Neodiprion lecontei: one gene and its partner. The protein of the gene in region 2 purifies or fractionates together with the protein of the main gene of each other region. This does not show direct contact. Links are inferred from orthologs where the notes say so. Each region holds a gene or a part of one and is shown on either strand. Other genes may lie near its edges.

Evidence for each region. Proteins that work in one complex are often made in the same cells at the same time.
Region 1: the proteins of transcription initiation factor TFIID subunit 4 (region 2) and transcription initiation factor TFIID subunit 5 purify together in Drosophila melanogaster (affinity purification with western blotting; 3 studies listed by BioGRID). This does not show direct contact. The link is inferred for Neodiprion lecontei from reciprocal best matches to the Drosophila melanogaster genes Taf4 and Taf5.

The regions. Positions count from the first base shown.
Region 1 is NC_060261.1:43,189,892-43,196,208, reverse strand, and holds transcription initiation factor TFIID subunit 5, read right to left. Parts: upstream 4,409-6,317; 5' UTR 4,045-4,408; coding exon 3,982-4,044; intron 3,893-3,981; coding exon 3,707-3,892; intron 3,634-3,706; coding exon 3,431-3,633; intron 3,346-3,430; coding exon 3,149-3,345; intron 3,061-3,148; coding exon 2,856-3,060; intron 2,778-2,855; coding exon 2,658-2,777; intron 2,589-2,657; coding exon 2,443-2,588; intron 2,347-2,442; coding exon 2,209-2,346; intron 2,059-2,208; coding exon 1,865-2,058; intron 1,798-1,864; coding exon 1,291-1,797; 3' UTR 516-1,290; downstream 1-515. Other genes in the region: enolase, read left to right, coding at 1-45, 164-485; peptidoglycan-recognition protein SC2, read left to right, coding at 5,328-5,445. UniProt on the Drosophila melanogaster protein: TFIID is a multimeric protein complex that plays a central role in mediating promoter responses to various activators and repressors. May play a role in helping to anchor Taf4 within the TFIID complex.
Region 2 is NC_060261.1:2,569,411-2,574,073, reverse strand, and holds the start of transcription initiation factor TFIID subunit 4, read left to right. Parts: upstream 1-1,637; 5' UTR 1,638-2,199; coding exon 2,200-3,204; intron 3,205-3,890; coding exon 3,891-4,166; intron 4,167-4,663. Other genes in the region: uncharacterized protein LOC107216688, read left to right, coding at 1-165, 290-813. UniProt on the Drosophila melanogaster protein: TFIID is a multimeric protein complex that plays a central role in mediating promoter responses to various activators and repressors.

The DNA.
Region 1 (6,317 bases), about 41 Mb from region 2:
TATTCAGATCGTTGGAGACGATCTCACAGTGACTAATCCCATCCGGTGAGTTATCTCAAATATATCTTCGGCTTCTCAACATAAACTTTGTGTTTATTTCAATAAAATTCGTGACGAGTTTTTTTTTTTTTTGCTTATTCACTAATCAAATTTTTTTTCTTAGCATCCAGAAGGCTGTCGACTCCAAAGCCTGCAACTGTTTGCTGCTGAAGGTCAACCAAATTGGTAGTGTTACCGAATCTATCAATGCTCACAAGCTAGCGAAGAGCAACGGATGGGGAACCATGGTGTCTCATCGATCGGGAGAAACTGAGGACACCTTCATTGCTGATCTAGTAGTTGGTCTTTCTACCGGCCAGATTAAAACCGGAGCCCCATGCCGCTCGGAGCGTCTTGCAAAGTACAACCAGATTCTTCGTATTGAAGAGGAGCTTGGAGCTGCTGCGAAATATGCTGGAGAGAAATTCCGCAACCCCACCGCCTAAATTTAGCTCGCTAAATTTTTGAAAGAAGTACTATCACAATTTTATCGTACCGTTATTGAGAATGGTCTGCCTTTTCATGTGGAAATATGAACAGAACGATAATGCGTGGTTATAATTTGAAATCAGTTACCTAATCTCGCAAGGCAAGCATTCCCCTGTAATGTTAGATTCGATGAAAAATTATATTCCTGCTCTTAATGTACTAGTCTGCTGTGTATTATCGGCGAAAAATTTTCCTTTTCCATGGATCAGCATACGCTCATTACTCAGTTTTAACAAAATTCTCATTTTATCCATCCCATTACTGTAGATTCTTATTTAATAAATATATTAATGTAAATGTATTACAAAATATAATACCGTGTTATTCAGTGAGCTAAAGTATTTAGGGGCTAGAAGATGATTGGTCGATGAAGCTGATCTAACAATAATCGTTGTGAATTTACGTGAGTAATTATTTCGTGAAACTATAATGTAAAGTGATACTATACATTTTCGCAATTAACGAGTAAATAACGTTAATCATTTAAATTTGTTGTATTGTCTTCTTTCTCGCATCCTTTACACCTCTGATCCAAATTTTATACAACAGTTTTGTGAAGTATAACACATCTAACAAAATTATCAAAATATTGCTATTTTATAGAATTGTAAGAGGTTACAGCTTAAAAAATGAATATTAAGCTCGATCTGGATTGTTCATTTAGTATGAAACAATTTTAAACCTCACACTTAGGTTCAATGAACTCTTACTCATTCTGAAATTCACACTGACAATCGCGAGCACTGGAAGAACCGGACTGGTCTAAGATACTTCGAACATACCGACTGCTAGTAGAAGATTTCTTCGCGAAAAGTGGAGGGTGAGAACGGGTGAATTTTTTGTCGGAAAAGTTCGTAGGAGGTAGGTCTCGACGCATGTTTTGACGTCAGGATTATGCGAGACGTTAACGTCCTCCAAGCTCATTTCTTCAGCAAGTTTGGTAAAGTCCCAAAGCTTCAGTGTCGAATCGAGGGATCCTGACACTAAGATATTACCGTCTCTACTGAAGAACAAGCAATGTACTGTGGCTGTATGGCTGGATAAGGCTGCGACCAAATGTCCGTGCGCTAAATCCCAAATCAGGACTCTGTTATCGGCACCCGCAGTCGCCAGGAAGCGACCTTCCGCGGAAAATGCTAGGGAATATATCGGACCTTTGTGGCCGGTCATCAACCGCACCTGACCTCCAGTAACACAGTCCCACAGTCTGACTGTCCGGTCGCTGGATCCCGTAGCAACGTAATTTGAATTTGGATGGAATTGTACGACCTAAGGATGGAAAGGACAACAAGGAGTTAGATTCGCATTGTACGAAAATTAATTAAATGCAACTTACATCGACATCTGAGTAATGCCCGGAAAAAATTCGGAGAGGCTGATGAGCGTCAGTTGCCCAGAGTCTTGCAGTCTTGTCGTGGGAACCTGTCGCGAAATAGTAACCATGTGGTGAGAATCTCACTGACCAAACAGGGAACAGGTGACCCTTGTAGCAAACAACACAGGTCCACGTATGAAGAGACCATAGCCTTACTGGAACCGAGAAGAGAAATGTCAGGTTGAGCAAATTGTTGAGCAAACTAAGAAAAGATGATACTTTTTCGTAGAATATTTAAGACAATTATCACCAATATTTATACATTGATAAAAACTGAACCTTGATGTTCACTGTGTCATGCTCACCTGTGGTGTCCTCTGATGAAGATAGTAGTAAATTTCTGTCTGGGCTAAACGACAAACTATAAATAGGTCCGCTGTGTCCATATAGGGTTCTCGACGATTCAGCTGTCCTGTCGTCCATCATTCTCACAAGTACATCGTCTTAAGAGAATTATTCAGATTAAAGATAACAGCAAAAACATTAACTTAGAAAAGCCAGAGGCAGATTTTTTTGAAAGGAGAAAGAGTCGCGAGTACCAGCTTCGCGGTCGATGTCTTGTAATTGATCCCCACTTTTCATCAGTCTTAATTTTTGTGGAACCAGGCTCCATACTTTTACTGCGGAATCACTGAAGCCAATGGCCAGCAAACTGGAATCTTCTGCGACTTCTGCAGCAGTAACGCTGCAATTATATGAGCGAAAGTGTCATTGAATCATCGATATGATTTAAAATATTTAATATAAGTCGTACCTGTGTACTGAATTCAATAAAGTATAGAAGCATATTGACGGAAGACTGTCTGGCCCCAATACCACTCTCTTTGAAGCCTCTCTCAATGCTTTAACCTTCTCCAGTTTATCAGCATCTTTCCTAAATACGATCAATCTTTTTAAGCAGCGATACAAAGTCAAATCGATTAGAATCAACAAAGTGCAAAAATAAACTAACAAATTTGGTAGGGGCATTCTTCCGACCGGAGGTGCATTAGGGTCTGATTTAGTTTTCTTAGAAAAGAGTGGATCTTTTTTTGCTTTCTTTTTCTTTGGTTTATCTCCTCCCTCCCCACCGCCATCGTCTTCTTCTTCCTCAGCCGGCGGGACGCACTGAATATCTGGTTCCTTTAAAAGCCCATAATAGACTTTAGCCTTGTTATCTATGGAATTGAAAGGAATCCTTGAAGTTGAAGATCAGATATTTGAACAAATTTAAGACATAGACCATTGATTGCTTTCAAATTATACCTTGCCGCGTAGCTTCCCCCACAACAGCGCCTGACGTTGCTTCAATCTGTTGCTTGTTCCGAGCGACACCTTCGTACATATCAAAGTAAAGATGCTCTTGAATAATATTGAGCAAAATGCTATGTTTTTTCTCTTGAAGATGCCGCTTGAGTATGGAAAGCGTGTCTCGGGACATCCTTATAATAAACTGGTTAGACCTGTAAGAAAGTAATCGTCATTTTCTGTCACAAATTTACCTGTACAGCTTACTTTTCTTATCAACCCCATAGCTCTGATCCTCACTTGAAAGTATCCGTCAGCTCATTACCAGCAATCTGTTCCCGTTTTGTGACATTTGACAATCGCTTCAGATCCTCCTGGTAATATTCCTCCAAATTACCACTGAACTTCTCCAGCAGCTGTTTTGCTTCTCCTGAATGGTTGTTGTAAACAAGTTCCAGGTACATGTGAACCAATACCGGATACAATATTGTGCCAAGTTCATGCTACAGAAAGCGAAAGTAAATGTAAGATAAGGTCGGACAAAAATGCACAAAGAATTGATCGCTTATCGCAAACCTTGTAAATATCCAGAGCTCCTTCGACGAATTTCTTAAGTTCGGTATAGGCTTTCTCATACAGCGCTGGATCACCCTCGCTTTTGTAAGCTGATAGTACGCTGCTAACTTCAGAATCAGTTTGTTGACTATCCTCAGCTGAAACATCCGTCAAGTTTGCTTCCTTTCTAAATAACTCCTCGGTACCCTGGGGAGAAAGCCGAAGCGTATTTTAATCTGACGGTACAGTTTTGTTTACATGTCATATTTGCAATTTGAGGTTAAGTCAACGCTTACCTTTAAATTGTATTTCCGTAACAGCTGCAATACTGCAAGCATTGTGCTTTTCTCGTTGTCCATGGTTGCAGGTTTTTTTTCCCGTCTGCACCGCGTCTGTGATTTAAATTTTGATCCGAGGAATCGAAATCGTCAGACGCGAACGAGGATGCTAGCTATCCGGAGACACGATCAATTTCGCCGCCCCATTTGTCTAGCGCATGTGACACGCAACATGCTGACGATGCTGACCAGTCAGATATATGGTGACTCCGAAACATGCCCCTTGAATAAAATACACCCTCAACTTAGCTGCGTGTCTGGTTGCCGCTTCCATCATAAGCAGGCGTAGGAAACTGCCCGACTTGTAAAAGGACGTTTCCACGCCAGTCCGACATACAGTATCTAGATTTTGAATGTATGGAGTGGTAGTAGTAGGTCATCGTCTGCCAGGGATAGCAACATACCATTAACAATTTTTCATAGAGAATAGAAATAAATCCAATAAAATTACAATCAAACGGGAACAATTATAAGTAAATAATCAGAATTTATAAATGCACAAGTCTTACACGAATTACAACTTAGAATTACCTGTGCAAGAAAGCTCAGCAATATTATTCTGCCTTAGACTTTTTTACAATTGATGAGAATGTCACGTTCTAACATATTTTGTACATATGTTGTACAAATTTCTGAATTCACATAGCAAATGATGTATTGAAATTCTTATGCCTAACACATATTTGAGAAACAATTAATCCACGTAATGATCTACAGAAGTCATCTGTACATCTTTCTATTAATTTTTCGATATCGAGCCATGCTGGAGCATTTATATTCCGAAACTTGTATTATAGAAAAATTTTCAATTTATCAAGACGCGAAGCAGTTATCATGGAGTTCTTTATACATAGCGAGAATGAAAATAAAAATTCTAGATAAAGCGATGAAAACATAGCATGTATATTATTTCTGAACTTCGGAAAGTATGTCAGAGGCAGATCTCGTCAGATGAAAATAATACACAACTCAATGCTCGAAATCCTCGGATCATTCCCTACGAATAGTTTCCTAGGTGCAAGAATATTAAACTGCACAAAGAACATCGATTTTGATCGCAAGCCATCCTTATACCGTAATTGAGATTAATCGCTTATGGTAGAAGCACGTGAACTAAGCGGCGGTGGGGTGGGGCGGAGGGGGGGGGGGGGAGGAGGGGGAAAGATCTGAAAGAACCTACGATCAGATTGGGAGGGAATACCCGGCGTCCTTTAGTTTTTAGTTTAAAAGCGGCTGCGTGAGCGCATTGACCACCAGTTTTATCTATAATTCGGTCCGCGCACTTCTCTCAGTTTTCCCTCACCATGAGTCGGTTTGCTAATTACAAATCGATCATTGTGGTCTTGAGTACAATCGGCTCTCTGGCGATTGGAACTCCCATCAAACTTTCCGAAGAAGCAATTTCCACCACACCAAGTAAGGGTGAGATTATTTGGTTCCGACTTGTTTTTAGTATCCATCTTTGCGCTGAACGAAAATATATTGAACGCGGAAAATGAAATAGATAATGGTACAATTCGTCCGGCTAGAGTTACACAAATAGGAAATTCAACGCGTTTGGGAATTCCCCTGAAAATTAGATGCATTCGTCGTGCGCATCTCATGGCCGTACACGGAAGAAAATTTATTCAGCGTTAACTATTTTCCTTGTCATCTGATGCCTGAAAATTTCAATCAGTAGTTTCTAGTATGTTCCTGCATGGTCTCAATAGTTGGATGGTACAGTATTCTATTTTTATGCACTGCTATTAAAATATATTTCTAAAGCAAAACAAAAACATTAATCGCGTAGTATAGCACGAAGTCCCGCTGCACTTAACAACCTGATTCAAACGTTCCTCTTTATCAGTAATTCATTCCGATTACTCCATTGATAAGAATTTTCAACAGATTTAGGATAATTGATTGAATCGCGTTGTTTTTATGATCTCACCTGATTCACGCGAAAGGTTATCGTTAGAGGATTAATACTGGCACAAAAAAAATCCTTTGATTATCAGGCCTTATCCATGTTTGAAAATTGCGGTTTGATATCAGTAGCGTACTTCACGGCATCTTTTAAGAACAGTGCCTTGGCACGACTTTTTTATCTTCGACAATCGAGCAGAAGTTTTTGTAATTAACGCGATGCAGGTATGAAGATCGTTTACTGTAAACAGTGTTACTTTCAAGTTGTAGTGCGAAGTTTTTCTTCGAGATTTTGTGAAGTTTCTCGTATCGTAATCAATCGCGTCAAGTCAATGAAATTCACGATTAATAGTTTCAAACTCGTTTAGCAGGCATCAGGTGTAAGT
Region 2 (4,663 bases):
GGTGGTCTTTCCTTTTATCGTGGCGATCCATAGCTCTGATGTGTGCTATGGGATCCTGCGTCGTCGCTGCGGTGGTTGTCAATATGGCATTATACTCGCAAGATTTAAATATGCCATCAATCTCCACTGTTACAAAAATTCCCGACTCATCGGTAGACATTAATGGTAACGAACAAAATTTTCGCATATTGAATGAAGTTATGAACATATCCCAACGTTATAAATGCCTCGTGAAATCATTTTACATTAATTAAAAATTCTGTTTTTAATGTTATTTCAATTTTCGTAGGCCTCCCGTTGGGCACGATGATTAGATTTGTTACACGAGATGAATGGGGCGCACAGCCACCAGTGGAACCCGCGGCAAGGTTGAAGCATCCAGTCCCCTACGTGATCATCAGCCATACTGCAACTGATTTTTGCCACACGCAATCGTCATGTGTGTATCGAGTCCGATTAGTACAATGTTATCACATAGAATCTCGAAATTGGTGCGACATTGCCTACAACTTTCTGATTGGCGGGGATGGTTACGTATACATTGGCCGTAACTGGGACTACGTTGGGGCTCATTCGTACGATTACAATGCCAGAAGTATCGGAATCTCTTTCATTGGGACGTATAATACCGTCACCCCATCGAAACATCAGCTGCACGCACTTCAACAACTTGTAGACCTCGGTGTCACGACTGGGAGGATTGCAAGAAATTATAAGCTTTTAGGTCATCGACAGGTTTCCAGAACTCTCAGCCCTGGTGACGCGCTATACAATGTTATAAAAACGTATCCACATTGGTCCCCCACACCCTGACATTCTTCGGATCGATGAGATTCCAATATGTGCAAGGGTAGCAGTATACTCATTTATTTTTCATTTCTTTGGTATGGTGAATTTTTACTGGGAACTCTCAATAGGTACTTCATTTTTATTTCGTCTTACATATCTTATTTATTTCATGCCAATTTTTTGGGTAATGTAAGTGTATACAGCATTTTGCTACTAGTACTTTTTTATCATGTATTACAAGTCGTGTTGCATATCAAATCTCATTTTCTCCTCAATGAGGGGTCTTTTTCAAAACGAAAGCCTTGTACAGTGTCCCACATTAATGCCACTACTAGTGTTTCGAGTAAATTTAAAATATCAAGTATACACAGAATTTTCATGAATTAGTATCGTTGATATGAAAATATTGTTGTTCCTTGACTGGAAATGATTTTTAATAAAGATATTGTTTTGTATAGTTGTTATTTGTAATAGTTTTCAATAGTGATTTGATACGTTTTAATTTATCGAAATATTTAATAAAATTTGTCGTATGTAGAAATCGGATGATTGTAACATAGATATTATAATATAAAATATCTCGAGAGCAAATCATTCAAACAAAGCTTGTTGTAATAGCTATAACAGTCCAAGTTTTGAGTTGGCGTTTCGAAATTGCAACATTCGAAAGTGCAGCTGTTTTACCGGGCATAATAAAGGTGGATTCGCATGGCCGTGGCTTTACGTCGCAGTAATAATAGAAACCCTCCTGTATCGATGGGACAGCAACTGCGGCGTTGAAATGACTTTGTGAACGCACAAAGCTAAATCATTTGTATAAACTTACGAGTGTCCAGTCTCGTGTGATGAGTTAGTTTATGGTCAATTGTATTTCTGTTTATCGAATCATCAACAAATACTTGTGTTGAATGTTATCTGGAAATAATAAGAGAAGAACTAAACGAAAGAAATTGAAAAAGAAAAAACGAGAACGAAATCGACTACGCGAATCTTAAACTAATCGGGACCAGAAATGAGTTTGAAATGACTTATTGGTTGACTATTTCCGAGCTGGCCATTTTGGCGGGTGACGTGTTTTGGTGTTCTACTCATTGACATGCAGCCATATCAAAAGAAGGTGTAAAGGAGGGAAAGGCATTAACGCAAGGCTAGTAGGCGTTCACTGCGTTACGTAACGCGTAAAATGAGTAGCGTCGAAATAGCCGGTATAAAGAAGTAGCGAGGAAAAAACAAGAAGTAAACAGTACGAGGATACTATGGGGAATAATATCGATTTGCGCGTGTACTGCCCGATGGTAAACAGAAGATATGATGTATTCAATTTCCAGCTGCGCTAGGGGCAATGCACGATGGGAATAATTTTCTGTAGGCGCATGCGCAGTTCAGTTTACAGTTGGAGCTTGAAAGAAAATGGCGTCAGCTAAGTTTCTGGAGGAAGCTCTTAGTACGGACGTCGATGAATCCGCAGTAAACGCGATCGTCGGTTCGCTCGAGACGCAGTTGGTCACATCAACGCCGCCGATCTCAACCCACCAAGTGAACTCCGGTTCGGTTAATCAAAACCGTCAGTTAAACAGTGGGATTTCAAACGGGGGTACCATCATCTCCGCGGGACTGAAACATGGGGTTGCTAACGGCGGTGCTACTTCGATGAACAACCTGATATCCCAGGACCCGAGCAAGTCAATCACGACCAGCACCCTGTTGCCGGTGAACGTCGTCACCTCGAACACGATAGCGCATACAACATCGCAACAGCATCCACAGTCAGGAATTCCCGCTGCTGCCTACATAAACCAAGTCACAACCAATCAACAAACGAACATTACTAATATAACCAAAACACACGATCACCAACAACAGCAGCAGCAGCAGCAACATCAGCAACAGCAGCAGCACCAGCAGTCTGTCAAACTGGTGTATCCCTCACAGGGACAGACCATATCCACCACAGGTGTGGTTAACGTTAACAACAGGCTGTCATTCCCCACCCAAACAGTTGGCCATTTACCCAACGGCAGTCTAGGGGTGACCACGCAGACTGTGCTTCAGACTACCTCCGGCCTTGCTCACAACATCGGCTCTATAACACAGGCCAACAGCCAGTCCTCGGCTAATGTCAACAAGCAGCAGGGGGGTGGCACTGCCTTGGTTATAAAGACTAGCGCCACACCTGGGGGAATGGTTTCCGTCCCAATGTCCGTTCCCGTTTCAGTGGCTGGGAATGCCACCAGCACCACCCTGCAAGGGAAGGCTGGCGTCACTTCTACCATAGTACCTAGCAATGTCCAAATTTTAAACGTAAACACAATGAGGCCCGGTACTCCTGTCGCTGGACAACAGCAGGGCAAGCAAGTTGCCTCGAGGGTCGTCATTGGACAACACATGGTCGGTGCCAGACCTGGTGCACCCGGGGTAAGATGCTTTTTTAACGACATTTTCATTCATCATTTTCGCATTCATTTGCTCTTGCCAATATTTCGGTATCAACTTTTCTGCAATCCCTCCAATAACCTTGCAGAATATCAAAAGTGACTGGTATTTTATGTATCTCGTGTTTTTCAAGACTTATTTGTCAATCACAGAACTGTCTTTTTATTTTCTATTTTACAATAACCTTGAAACAGTTTCGCCCATTCATTCTTGCTCAAGCGAGCAAACCAAGTGTCAGCGCCGATTTCTGCATGTTTACAGTGAATCATTTTTGATGTGCGCAATATCGTTATTATTTTCATTTTTTTTTAACAATTTCCATTTTATGATCTCAAACGCAGATTCAGTTTATCGGCTATTCAAAAAGAAAAAATCATTATAAGTTTGAATAACATGTTACAATTTTTGTTATCTAGGGTTTCAGCTATGCAGAATTGATTTTTTCATCCGATGACGATTTCAAACTATATTTTAAGTAAAATACATGTGCAAAAGTTGCAAACTACCGAATCTTCTCCTGTTATAATCTTCAAATTCAAGGTTCTCAGTTTGCGGAAACAAATGGCCAGTTTATTCCTAGCAGCGATCGATTGTTAACGCATTCACTGTCAATGAAACTACCAGATTTTGATGAAACCGATTTAACATTTGGGAATTTGGCATTTCAGATAACACTGCAGGCCCTCCAAGGTCTTCAACCTGGAACCCAGGGACATCTGCTTTTGAAAACTGAGAATGGGCAATACCAATTGCTGAGGGTAGGACCGGCGCCACCCACAGGTACCCCTGGGGGAGGGAATGTCACCCCGAACAGTATTGCCGGAAGCGCAGTGGTTGCTCCGACCGCAGGCACAACTTATCGCCTAACCTCTGTGCCGGCTGTAAGTAGGCTGAACACTCAGTTCACTGGCCCGCCACTCGCCACGTTAAGAAAACCCATTCAGGTGACGCACACTCATAACTCGTAAGAGTCTCTTGATGTAGTGGCGTTGTAGATTTGCACTGTTTTATTGACTTTAGTTGATTGGAATAGTGGTTTTTCCTTTCATTTTTTGTCCTTTTTTCTTAGAAGCGCAATATACCGTGCATATCTTTGTTGGAAAGTGTTACAAGTCCAAGTTGGATTTATATTTTACTGTAAATTCAATTGTCAATTTGTTACAAGAAATACGTGGAATGATTCTTGGTAACCGTTTTCTTTCCTCCGGCAATGTTTTATTCTCATCGACGTAATATTTGATATCATTTTTAACTAATTTTCGTTGGACATATGATTTGATTTAGAATTTACGATAGATGTCACTCGAATGTTTTTCTCTGTATCGCAAGGTATGCATCACACTGCATATATTGTATCACTTTATTATCATTTTGTACTATTCAGGATATTTTTTTGACAGAAGTTTTTAAATTGCAAATTTTGCCTTCCTACTATTGAAAA